Caenorhabditis elegans: one gene and its partners. The protein of the gene in region 1 interacts with the protein of each later gene in a pairwise test. Each region holds a gene or a part of one and is shown in the gene's direction. Other genes may lie near its edges.

Region 1 (4,016 bases):
TCAATTGGAGAATCTTTTGAACTAGATGATCTAGATTCCACTAGATGTTTTAGATGCTTCGGAAACTTTTTATTGTGTCAAAGTTTTAATTTAAAATAAAACTTTTTTCATATAAACTTACATAACGAATAGTAGACAGAAAAAGAAGACGCACGTTCGCATTGTACTGCGAAAATAAAAATGGTACGATTATAACAGTACCACCTCGAGTATCATCTATGTCCCGCCCATTATTTGAGTGTCCTCAAATTTGCATAGCATTGTTGTAAAACCATGTCACAAGTGGGATACTTTACAAAGTATATGTTAAAAATTGACAGCGAACACTAATGTTCTGAACAACATAGAATTAAATAAAAATCTAGCAAGTTCAATATCACGATAATCCAATATATCCCTGTTTGTAAAAACTAATGTTAGCTGAACTTTCATCTTATTGAAGACAGTGTACAAGTGGTGGATATCCATTGTCTTTTTTCATTTTCAACGGGAATTTTCATTGAGATTTCCACAAAATGATGGCTAATTGATAAGGGCAAAACGAGAAATCGTAGGAAGAAAAGTGATAAGAAGCGACGCCTTCGAGGCTTATTCTATCTTTTTCGTCTTCTCATTTTTGTGGAAAGAATCAACAATGAAGCTTCTTCTGTTAGCTGTTTGTGTCATCGGTTAGTTTTTCGATTGTTTCGTTGATTTATCCCTAAATTTAGCTCTAAATGGTAAAGGAAATATTTATCTAATTGGGTTAAAATATGTTCAAATTTGTTTTAAAAAATATTAAGAAAAATACATAACTAATTTATTTGACATATCCAAAACTTCTTAGTCATAACAATTTTACCCAATATGAATTCTGCTTGTACGTCAATAAATTGAAACGTTCTATAAATAACCAAATTTCGATTCTCATATTTTCTTCGTCTTGCACGAAATCGCAAAAAAAACCAGTCCAGAAAAATTGCTTCTATATAATTTTCAGTTGATCAATATATTTGACTTCAAAATTCAATTAATTTCAACATTTCAGGATTCGTTGCATGTTATGAAGTTGTACCGAGAGCAAGTGCTTTAAGACCGAGAGGAGATGTTCGAAGGTTTAACATTTATTCCATTTTTTCTTTAATCTATTCTTCAGATCACCCCTCCCATCATTATCGGCATATGCTCCTTTTGCTAAATCTCTTCGTCCAGCTTCTACAGGAATCCGACGTGCTCCAGCAGTTGTTACACTTCCAGCTCAAAAAGCTAATCGTTCAGTGAAAAGAGCTCCAGCTAAACCACTTCCAATGACACTTCCACTTCTTCCACCACTTCTTCCACTTCCACAATTCATTCCAGTACCTGTACCAGTCCTGTCTGCAGAAGGCCTTCCAACTCTTCCAACTCTTGCTCCACATACTTTCCCAACTTTCACTCCAATTCCTGGAATGCCAACAATGCCTGCATTGACAATGCCACCAAGTTTCCAACGTCTTCTTGGAATCACAACTACAACTATGAAACCAGCTGAAAAAGCTATGGAAACTGTTCAAACTGAAGAATCTGATAATGACACAACGTCCGAAGCTAGAGCTCATAGGTGAATTACTCAAATCAGGAGAAAATAATCTAATATTAATTAATTTCAGCGCCCCAACATACAGCAAAGATCTGAATACAATTCGTTCAAGACTTTCAAAGTTTGTAAGAGGAAGTGAAAAGAAAGTGACAAAAGCAGAAGACAACGCTGATTGGATTGTTCCATTCCATTGATCTCATCAAAATATAATAATTTTAATTAATAATAAATAATTTAATTAATTTAATAAATATACCCGCGTGACATCGTTTGAATTCGTTTTACACAGAAAAAAATCAGAAAATAAAAAGTGAAAAGAGAAACTGAATCAGTTTCAAATATTTCCTTGTCGACAGTTGCTTTCATCTTCGCATCAATCTATTCGGGGTAAGTTAATATTCAGACTGCAAAAAATCAAGCCACCTAGGGGACTCGAACCCCTGACCTTAAGATTAAAAGTCTCACGCTCTACCAACTGAGCTAAGGAGGCCAGCGAGTGCGCTGGGTCCAAAGGCATAGACGCTCGACTAGTTACAGGAGACGCGAGAGTGGGTTGCTGTGAGATAGACACGTACTATTTACAGATGGCAACCAACAACAATAGTTTTCATGTAAAAGGAAAAGAAGAAGTACAATTCGAACGGAAAAATGTGGTTGTAGCATGTGATGTGGTCAATGGAAAGGTAAATAAAGAATCCAACACAGGGCTCGCGTCGAGAGCCGAATAAAACTTCAAAAGCCCTGATGTGTAGAACAGTAGAACACTCTTTAATAAATAAGAAGTCCGGTTGCAATTTCCTTCGAGGCTGTAAAAAGACTCATTTTCAATTCAAAAATCGAAGAGATCTTGAATAATCACATTGCAGATTACATATGTGGATGTGAGTAGCCAACTGATGGGTGTTCTATTTGCTGGTGATGAGATTCTGAATGTCAATGGAGAAACTGTAAGGAATATTTTAAGATTTTCCGTTTCAACTAATCAAACATTTCCAGAACATCAAGACAACTGCTGACTTTATCCGTGCAATTAGTGCAAAACTTCCCGGAAAAGTGACAATTGAATTCATGCGAGACGATCATTGCCTTGTCACTGAAAAACCAATGCCACCACGTCGTCCAAATACTCAAATGGTTGAGTTGACTTTCACTTATCGTGGAGGTGCTGCAACAGGGATTATCATTCATAGAGTTAGTAATCAGGGACAATTTATACTTTCATGGATGATTTACAGATGGCAGTTGATCCAAAAACTGTGACTATTTCAATGGTTCAATCGGCTTCCAATGCGTGTCACTATGTCAAGGATGGAGATATTCTTGTTAAAGTTAATGACATTTATGTTCTTGATCGTGACTCTGCTAGAAAGGTATTGTAGTATTTTTCTTATTTTATTTTAGTAATTAACTTACTTTCAGCTTCTCTACGCGAGTGTCAACAACACAAAAACGGTCCGTCTTACATTGGAAAGATCCACAACTACTGATCCACTTGGTCCTGCTCCACCGCCTCCCGATGGTGCACAGAGCACACCTGCTGGAGTGAAGAAATCTGGAAATTCAGTGATGCTTCCTCCTCCAAAACCACCCCAAGGAAAAGCCAACAAGCAGTTTGATGTGGTCAGTTTGAACCCATTTCCTCTTATCATTTCATTTACCAAAACATGTTTTTATTTTCTTCTTTGCAGCTTCTTCCTCCTGATGTTTTGGAGATTATGAAGGCAAACAAAGATTTCTACAAGAAACCGTGCAAGAATCCTCCATGCATCATCAAAACAACCGCCGCATCAGCCCCTGCTCCAGTTCCAGCCACCTTGCCATCGGATCCTGCCCCAGAAGTTCGCATCCCGTACATTCCGTCTCCGAAGCCCCTGAAAATGACTCCAAAACGTGTGGGATCTTAACTTGAGAAAAGTGTTCGAAATAAAGTTTTCAAAAAGTGTTTGTTTGGTTGTTTACCGTTCTATCCATCCCTAACCTATGCCTAGAGACACAAATATTTACGGTCCTTCAACCTGTGATTTGAAAAAGGCAGGCCTAATTCTATTTATTGTTGAATGCCAGATTGGTTTCTCCTCGAAACCCTCATGAATCTAAAACCTACAGCTTTTACACATTATTTGAAACATTTCTAGTCTCACATCATCGTCCGTTTTTTCTTGCTCCTAGTTGTCTCACAGAGTTGCAAATGTTCATCTAGCAAACGTCTGCGTCTCTATGTCCTACTCACTATTTCCACTAGTTTTTCTTCCTGTCTCTCACTGTGCACGGACAGAGAGACGTACGAGACGGCCGGTGCTGCTTGGTACCGACTCTGTGCGTCTGGTTGTCCGTGTCCGTGTCCGCCCGCCGCTCTCACTCGCCAAAATATGACTGAGAATTGGAAAAAGGCAATGGATGAGAGTGTGTATCTGTCATTTCTGGATGCATACTGGCTCTCATTTTCACTTGATTCGGA
Region 2 (4,206 bases), on another chromosome or scaffold:
CTCTGCCATTCGTCAGTCTGAACAAATCATGTCAATTGTTTGTAGTTTTATTTTGTCCAAATCTTGTGATGGTCTTATATAAAATCTAAAATAAAATCTGAACATAAAGACTGCAACAAAAAACAAGATATTTTCTATGGTTCAGTTTTAAAGAAAACGAGATACTTCAGAAATAGTGAAATACTCTTCCGCGTCTATTTTAAATTTGAGAACTTTCTACTCGGCGGGGGGAAATTTCAACAATAGAGCACAAAAGATTGCTTTTTATTCGAACTTTTTCAAGGGAATGCTGTCAAGCCCACATGTATTTCTGTCTAATGTCAATCTTTATCGTCAATTCAAACATCTCCTATCAACCGTATTATTGAGACTTTTCACAAACGAAAACTTTAATTCTTATGTATTTTTAGTGCAGATAAAAATTGAATTGGTTTTGAATAATTTAGTTTTTTAGGGGGTACAAGACTGGAAGGTGCGCAAAGGCGGGCGTGAGTTGCGCGAAACTAAAAAGCCGGAAATTAATTTTTGTTTGCCTGATTTAGATATTCTGATTGCTAATTTCGAACTTTTCACTTTTTGTAGATTTTCGCACATTTTCGATTTATATGCATCCGAAAGTTATCAAGTTTGGTTATCAAAAGACGGAGATCTGCCTAAATCAACAAAAAATCCGGCAATGAGTTTACACAATTACATCAAATTTAGAATTTTTTGAGAAGGTTTATTACAGGTAAAGTGGGAACATTGAAAAGCTGCTCAATTCCTGCTGAAAAAAAGCAAACGGTCTTTAATCCGATTGACCTCCAGCTCGAAATTAATTTTGTTCAAAATCTTACGTTTTGTTTGTTTTATGTTTAACGCAAGTTTCACGCAAGAAACAATCAACTTACCGTTAGAAGCCACTAAAACTCTTTTTCTCAGAAAAAACTGAATTTTCGTCAGCTGTTTGCCTGCAAATCGACCGTTCAGCCGTTTTATGCGATCCCAACAGCCATCTGCGACTTTTCAGCAGCTATTGGGCATATTTTGAGGAATCCCATTTTTGTTGTAATCACGACACGCGATTCGCTGCTTTTGGGAAATTTTGAAAATTCGTGAAAATAATTTTGTAACGTAACGACATTGTAGCTCAAATCTTCTTTCGATATATATATATATATATATATCGTATATACTTTGGAGCCATTTTTAGCCGTCATCGATCCTCTCATTCCGTATGCGTTTCCTTCAGATATAGTTTCGTCTATCAAAGAAAGTACCGGTGAGATGTACTGAGACTTCGAAGTTGGTTTGACTTAAATTAACAGATATTAAATTAAAACAAGTGTCCATTCTCTGTTTTCGCCATAACAAATCTCAGGACTCAAACTTTTTCTTGGATTAAACTTTAGCTAGATTTAGAGTTTATATGAATGTGAAGCTTAGAGTTTATGACAACCTAATGCGCCGTTTTACTTAAATTCGCGAACGTTTTTTTGATGCTCTGCTAGCAAATTTTACAAGTTACCAGAAGTCGTCTACATATCACTAATTCAATTGTCCATAGAACACTTGAAATTCAGCTTACTCGCATAATAATCCTGCATATTTCGATCTCTCTGCACTTCCGCTTTTTGCATTCCGCTCTACTTGCTTCCACTTCATTCTTATGACACTTTTCGAAGCGAAGGCGGGAACTTTGTGCAAATGTTTTTGAATTATCTTGATTTTGCTCGATGGCCACACCTTTTAATTTTTCTAGTTTCAATAAAATATAAGTTTTATGACTCCAGTTTTCATCATCTGTCCCTTATTTAACAACATTTTCGTCTTATTTTCCATTTTTCCCACACTCACGTGTCCTTCGATGCCCGCCACATTTCCCACCTATTTAGTAATCCGAGATATTCGTCATTACATACTCATTACTTGTTCTATATTTTCATCTCTAAAATATTTCTAATTTCAGATTAAACAGAGTATGAAAGAAGTAGACATACTTGCCTTCATCAATGTTGCCTATCCAATTTTTGCAATCAGTGTTCTCTTCTCACAAGCTTTGTTACTTCTGCTCATATTCAAAAATCAAACAAAACTTTTACGAACAATGCGAATTTATCTTTTAAATATATGTGCCGCCCAAGTTGTAACTATAATTTCGGGATTTCTAACGCAATGTCGAATGATTCCAAATCAAACAACAGTGGCATTTGTATGTACAGGTGTATGCATCAGAGTTGGAAGACGTTCGTGTTTTCTACTGCATTTATTAAGAGATGTGAGTTGAATTTTATTGAATTTTTAAGTGAAAACTCAGAAAACATGTAAGAGCATTTGCGAAATATTTCTGTTCCAAAGAAATTGAGATACAACAACGAAAGCCAAAATGACCAAATATAAATATTAAAAATTTTAACTATTTGCCCAATTAAAATCAGTTAATTGTATTTTTTATTAACGTTTATTTTTATGGAAAAATATTTTTTAATTTCTGGAAAAATTCTCATAAAATATGAACTACACTATTCTTGAAATAGGCTCAAATTTCAGTTTGACATTCAATCATATTTCTTGTCTACAGCCACATCCTAACAGAGATCATTTCTTAATATTTTCAGGCATCTTCAATGGTTGCACTTTTTGCAATTGTTCATGTATTCTACTATCGGTATAAAATCTTATCCCATCAAAAACTTTCATCAGTCCAAATAATGAGAAACTTCATAATTGTGCATCTACCTGCTATATTCTGTGCAATCTGTCAATTTATAAATCCATCTCAGCACAATGCAATTGTTTTGGAAACTCGTGCTCTGCATCCGTCGTATATTTTTGAGCAAAACTCAATTTTTGGGTTTTCAGCGTTGACGTCTCCTGCAGTCAAAGCATCTACTATTATTTTCACAATTGTTTTAGTATTAAACCCACTAGCTGCAATTATCTATCGCAAGTGAGTTTATTATTCTAAAAAGGTTTATGAAATATCCTTTCAGCAAGATATGGGGACTTTTAAATGAATACGAAGAATACAAATCTCCACGAATCAAACATGCGAAGAGTATGATCACGGGATTGACAATTCAAACTTTAATTCCAAGTATTTGTTTTGTACCATTGGTCGTACAATTCTTTCTCACACAATATTCGGGTAAACGAGTCAACAATTATTTTTAAAATGCGATTTTCATGTTCAGAAGCTGGTGTGTTAATACTCGAGTACTTCAATTCATTTCTGGTAATTCTCCCAACTTTGATAGATCCAATTCTATCAATTGTATTTGTAATACCTTTCAGGCGGTAAGATTTTGTATTTAAAAACAATGAGTTCCAATTTTTAAATAAATATTATACTACTGTAACTTGCTTGTATTTTCTTTGAAAATTGGAGAATATTCTTAATAAACTTGACAACTTGAGCACATTTTTTCTAACTTTAATAATTTCAGAATGTTCTTCAAATATCTTCTCGCAGTTCGCCAATGCAGGTTCAGCTTATCAAAATTATCAGACAATGACATAATGTCTAAAGGAAATGGGTATTCTGCAGTTCGGGCGGTATCAAGAAAAACGTGATAAAATATTTATTTAAATCATTAATCTTTTTTGTATTTTGATTCAATATGACCAAAACAACTGTAATAATAAAATCCTCCAAAGAGTTTGAAAAATGGGAAAATTATGAAATAAAAAGCAACAAAGAAACATGGAACAATGATATCTAAATTGTAATACTTGATGATACTGAGATCTCTTCCTTCAGTCAGCAATTCATGAACTCCTCCATTCTGAATAACCCACTCAGTTGTTTTTATAAATCGGTCTCTTGCTCCCATGGGTTTGTTTCTCATCAAGTCACGTACTCGATGTGCTTGTTTCGTATAACTTGGATTTGTGAGCATTTCTCTTATAGCTTCCTCAATGGCGTTTGGCTCCGTGAGGAATTGTTTTTTGTCTCTTCTAATTCCCCATCCTTTTTTCTCGATTGCTCGACTGTTTAGATTCTGATCAAACATAAATGGAATCGTAATTAATGGAACACCGGCAAGAGCTGCTTCCATAAGACCATTGTAACCAGCATGTGTAATAAAAGTACGAAGGCGGGGATGATCTGAATGTATTTGATTATCAGACTTTTAATGTAGTTTGATTTTTCCAGCCCACAAGATTTCAACGGATTAAATTTTTTGTATGGATTTTTGGAAGATTCATACAAACACAATAATACAA
Region 3 (4,783 bases), on another chromosome or scaffold:
CTTTAATTTTCTTTATTTTGAAGTTCACCCAAGAAAAAAGGCTTTGAAGTTAGGCGGAGCTTATATTTTGCTCCTATTTTTCTTTTTTACTTCTGACTTGCATAAATCATAATAGATTAAACGAAACGAAGCTCCACCTATCCATTTTCTTTTTCACTTGATCCTTTAGCTCATAATGCCCTCACAATACAGTAACCCTTATGAAAACATCAAAAATCATTTGCTCATCTAAACCTTTTTGTGTTCATGTTCATTTCTATGTGTTAGTCAGCCAATTTCTGTGAATATTTTACTTGTTTTCTGGTAAACCGAACGCCACGAGCGCCAGACGAGTAGGACCTCATTGTGATCCTGTTGTTCGTTTTCTCTTGGGCTCCAAAATACGAAGAGGTACCGTAGAAGTCGAGAAGATGCAGCATCTATTGAAAATATATTTCTTCTAGATCAAATGACCCGAAAACTAACGTGTAAATCGAAAATTGCCCTCCCTACGGTTGTGTTCTCGAATTTTATATTAAATGTGCAACGCATAAAACGAAACCAACGAAAATTACATGTGTAATGTAATAATAATTTTTTTCGATGCTCAAATTGTATTAAAAATTTTTACAACAATTAACAAAAAAGAACCAAACGTGATTTCTTTGATAAAAATAACAATCAATGGAATATTGAACCAACTGACTGAGATACTGAGTGACTGAGATATCTCAAAGCTGATATCAATCTCCTTGACCTTGAGAACAATTCTTGATCAGTCAAAGTTTAATATCAAAAGAAAATCAAGATGTCAGGCGGCATCTATAGAGGTGTTGATTGAGCAAAAGGTGCGACTTTTCGATAATTGATGAGCCTTTTTGACCTATCTATCCATTTTTCAATTTAGAATGATTTCTTCTCATCAATGAGAAAAAGAAAGAAGATGGTTGCGGTCTGCCCACAGATTTCATTTGATGGGTGTGCTCTTCTTCAATCTGATTCCAAAAGCCAATGGCAATGAGAATTGGAATTCTTAATTAAATTATTTCTTACCCAGGTTTTCTTTTATTTTTATATTTGTTTAAAGACTATTTTCATAACTTTCAATAGATTGACCAGCAATGGATCAGTTCCGCAGAGTTCAGAAAGTATTTCAGATTGAAAAGCAAAAACGGAGTAATTAATAAGCAATAAATTAATTCTCCGATACCACGAGTCTCCAAGGTATTAGTTTTAAACAACAATACGTATCAAGCCTAATTATTTAGTCTATAAGACCTAAACATTAAGCTTCTTAAAAATTACTCACAGAACACCACAACGTCTAAGACGATTCAGTATTCAATTCTTGATTGTTTTTACTCAATTGGTTGCATGTCTGATGTTTGATCGATGTCATTTTTTATTCTTCTTCTGCGGTTTTCTTGTTATCTATTCAGCTCATTCTTAAATTCCTTTTGAAAATCAGTATGTGAATTGGAATTTAGAATCTAACATATATCTAGTATCCCAATGTGACCATCTTCTTAACTTTTTCAATTTCTCAATCAATCTCCCATTGCTATCTTCAAAATCTCAAACTTTTCTTCCAACTTTTCCCACTTTTTTCAATGTTTCACTAATGGTGTGCCAGTCACTCTTTGAGATTTTGGCTCGATTTGGCAACATTTCGTTTTTGTGATTGACGGAAGCCACTTCAAAAAGTCAGTATAAAACCTTCATCATTTTGAAAGCATACCTCATGTGAATCGTTTGATTCCTATTTCCAGTATCCTAATTCTCTCTGAAAATTTTGTTTTTCAACGCAGTAATTTTTTTTAGTAATTCAGGTAATCGAATTCATTGTGTATGAGTTCTTCGTAATGGACATCGGCAATCAGACAGCGTTAGAATCGCAAGCAGAAAATATTTCCAGTTATGACAGCACGGTAAGAAAGAAGACACACAATAGGAAATTAGAAAATAAACGCAATTATGTATATTGTTGAATACGATTAATGAACTGGAGTATGATCAAGTTCCTAGTTGACACCTTCATCATTTTTTTGGCTCTACTTTGAGATCTGTGGAATTACTCTAGCTCACAATTATGTGAGACTTACTTTGAAATTTGCTGAAATGGCTCCTTTCACCGAATCACTTTTTCGTAGTTCTAAAACCAAAAAAACGTATAAACAAGCTTGAGTTGGTCTGGATTATTGAAAAAATTTCAAAAGAAATTATTTGAATGCAAAAAATGACTTAACACACGGCTTTTCATTCACAGTGTGAATACAAATTCCAGAGAATTTCTCGATCGTTCGTTCTGTTGAATTTTTATAAAATTTATCAAAATAAAGTTTCTCGCGTTTTTTTAAACGTTTAAACAAAAAAACTGTAAAAAAGTTTTCACAAAAAAAAGTGTTCAGAATTGATTGCAATTTTTTAAAATTCGAAACGTTTCGACAATTTTCTTCAAATTTTGAACACGTTAGCGCTATAGGGACTATTTCAATAAAAACTCCCCACGGACCATACCTTCGAACAACCTTCGTACAATAAAAATGTTTTTAAAATATATTTTTCCAGATCATGCAACCTGATTACACAAATCCGTGCTCGGCGGCGGATGACTATCTGATCACGGAACGATTCTGGTTATGTGTCGTTGCTGGAGTGACTGTGTCCATTATATCAATTGTGTTCAATACATTTATATTCTTTGTTTTTGTCACAAATAAGCAACACCGGTTAGTTTAAATTTGGAAAATGTTTTGTTTAATTTCTAAATTTTCAGACGTTCACCAAACCTGTACCTTTTGCTACTTTCCCTTTTTGACGTCTTTATCGCATTTGCTTATATAGCCGTGATGTCAGTTCGGATTCTTGTGAACTTCACGTCCAGCGTATTTCTAAAATCTATTTGGGTCCATTATATGATTCCAATGCTAACTGTTTCTCACATCGGAATCACTTCTTCAACTTTTCTCATTTGCTTTGCATCAATTGAGCGATATTGTATTACAGTCAATCATTTCTTTGTACCGTACCTTCAAAGATTTCGGCCTCTTCTTGCATTTACTGCAATAATGTGTGGAGTTGTGAGCAAGGGAACAATTGTAAAGGAAGTCGATGTAAGTTATACTAGAAATGACGGCGTTAAAATATTTCACCTATTTTCAGATTTCTTACAATCCAGAATGTTATGGAGAACTGAACTATTGGACGGTTGTTCCCTCACAACTCCTATTTGATTTCCCAAAGATCAATGAATATTGGCGTTTTTACTTCCGTAACATTTTCACAATCCTTGCACCATTCTTCATACTTCTTCTTGTAAACTGCCTTCTTCTTTTCCAACTCCGCGAACATGTCTTGAAAAGTAAATGTGCTGATCATGATAAGCAGAATGTGAAGGAGAAGAAAGCCCGAATTCGTGCAACTACAAAATCTGTCGTTATCATCGTTTGCACATATCTGATGTCCAACCTGTTGTCAGTCATCATTACTATCTGGGAATATATAGATAAAGAGTCCATTTTTAGCGAGTAAGAAACACAACTTATTTACGTTTGAAGCCATTAAATTTCTAATTTCAGAGATTGGATAGCATTCTACGTTCTTTCTGTTGATGTTATCTCCCTTTTGACAATTGTGGCTTCGTCTGCTCGTTTACCAATTTATGCATATTTCCAACCGCTACTGAGAAAGGAAATGGGACAGTGTCTAGGTGAGCCAAATCATTTGAAACTATATTGGCACTTTGAAAATAATGATAATGTGCCTATTTTTATTTTAAAACAATAAACTATCTCTATCTATGTATATTGATAGCAATATATTTCTGTTCTCGACATGATCTTTAATAGTCCGATTTTCTACTGTGACTGTCCGAAAATCAGCTTGAAAATCTTTTCATTTATTCAATTTCAGGTGACTGGTGGTGTTGCTGTTTTTCTGAAAATGACAAGAAAATGTCTCTTCTGGACGATCTTCAACTTCCAAAAACCCAATTAATTTCAACACCAGATGGTGAAACTCCAAGCATCAGCTCCAAAATTGAATTCGTCTAATATTTTTGCTCATCAAGATTATGGTTTCAATCGAGAAATCAATTTTTTATTTTCTTTTTTCAATACTGACGTGCAATAATATTAAAAACGTTTTGTCAAATCTCGCGGGTTTTTGTTTTTTTTTATAATTTTGTGACTATTATGTATCATTCAAGCAAATAATGTTTTCAATGATAATAAAAATATTTTCTTTATGTAAATCTTATTGTATTTTAAAAGAAAAAGAATGAGAGAAAGAGAATTACCAGTAACAAAGAAGAAAGAGGTGGTAAAATAATAATTATTGAGATCGTATTAGACTATTTTTATATTCATCCATTGTCCGAACTTGTTCTCTCTTTTGATTCCATTGATTTCAAACCTAAATAAATATTATTCAAATAGGTGAAAAAAGATAAATAACGAACCATCTTGTAATATTGAAGCCAAATCAATTTGTTTAGATTCTGCAACTTTTTGTTCGATAGTTGTAGCCATTGGTAGAAGATCTCGTTCGACTTTTTGTGACAAGATTGGAGATTTATGAATGGTGACGGTTTTATTAATTGGGTCCGCCGGGTACTGAAAAAAAAAACAAATATTTTTGGATTCGAGAAGTCTTCAACTACATTTTTTTAATTTTCTCTATCTATGAATTTTATGAGAATTGCCAGTTAAAATGATAAATTTTAGAACAATATAAAATTAGAAAAAGTTTATTGGCAAAAAAATACATTGATTTTTATTTATTTTATTTTTAAAAACTTGACTTC

The links. The genes of interacting proteins can lie anywhere in the genome.
Region 2: the proteins of mpz-3 (region 1) and srd-49 interact in a two-hybrid assay, tested with the Caenorhabditis elegans proteins (one large-scale study listed by BioGRID).
Region 3: the proteins of mpz-3 (region 1) and zzz-1 interact in a two-hybrid assay, tested with the Caenorhabditis elegans proteins (one large-scale study listed by BioGRID).

Annotation. Positions count from the first base shown.
Region 1 is NC_003280.10:6,563,280-6,567,295, reverse strand, and holds mpz-3 (PDZ domain-containing protein), read left to right. Parts: upstream 1-1,899; 5' UTR 1,900-1,945; intron 1,946-1,975; exon of another isoform or gene 1,976-2,048; intron 2,049-2,142; coding exon 2,143-2,241; intron 2,242-2,424; coding exon 2,425-2,505; intron 2,506-2,554; coding exon 2,555-2,749; intron 2,750-2,793; coding exon 2,794-2,928; intron 2,929-2,977; coding exon 2,978-3,178; intron 3,179-3,246; coding exon 3,247-3,462; 3' UTR 3,463-3,502; downstream 3,503-4,016. Other genes in the region: dbd-6 (DB domain-containing protein), read right to left, coding at 122-162; F18C5.5 (Vegetative cell wall protein gp1-like), read left to right, coding at 635-668, 1,028-1,094, 1,136-1,579, 1,629-1,752.
Region 2 is NC_003283.11:10,092,760-10,096,965, forward strand, and holds srd-49 (G-protein coupled receptors family 1 profile domain-containing protein), read left to right. Parts: upstream 1-1,914; 5' UTR 1,915-1,960; coding exon 1,961-2,257; intron 2,258-2,597; coding exon 2,598-2,929; intron 2,930-2,972; coding exon 2,973-3,127; intron 3,128-3,173; coding exon 3,174-3,276; intron 3,277-3,425; coding exon 3,426-3,552; 3' UTR 3,553-3,572; downstream 3,573-4,206. Other genes in the region: Putative UDP-glucuronosyltransferase ugt-47, read right to left, coding at 3,573-4,087.
Region 3 is NC_003283.11:10,906,197-10,910,979, reverse strand, and holds zzz-1 (G-protein coupled receptors family 1 profile domain-containing protein), read left to right. Parts: upstream 1-1,808; 5' UTR 1,809-1,841; coding exon 1,842-1,907; intron 1,908-2,547; coding exon 2,548-2,708; intron 2,709-2,755; coding exon 2,756-3,092; intron 3,093-3,141; coding exon 3,142-3,506; intron 3,507-3,557; coding exon 3,558-3,688; intron 3,689-3,891; coding exon 3,892-4,031; 3' UTR 4,032-4,220; downstream 4,221-4,783. Other genes in the region: F32D8.15 (Anti-sigma factor), read right to left, coding at 4,343-4,392, 4,439-4,592.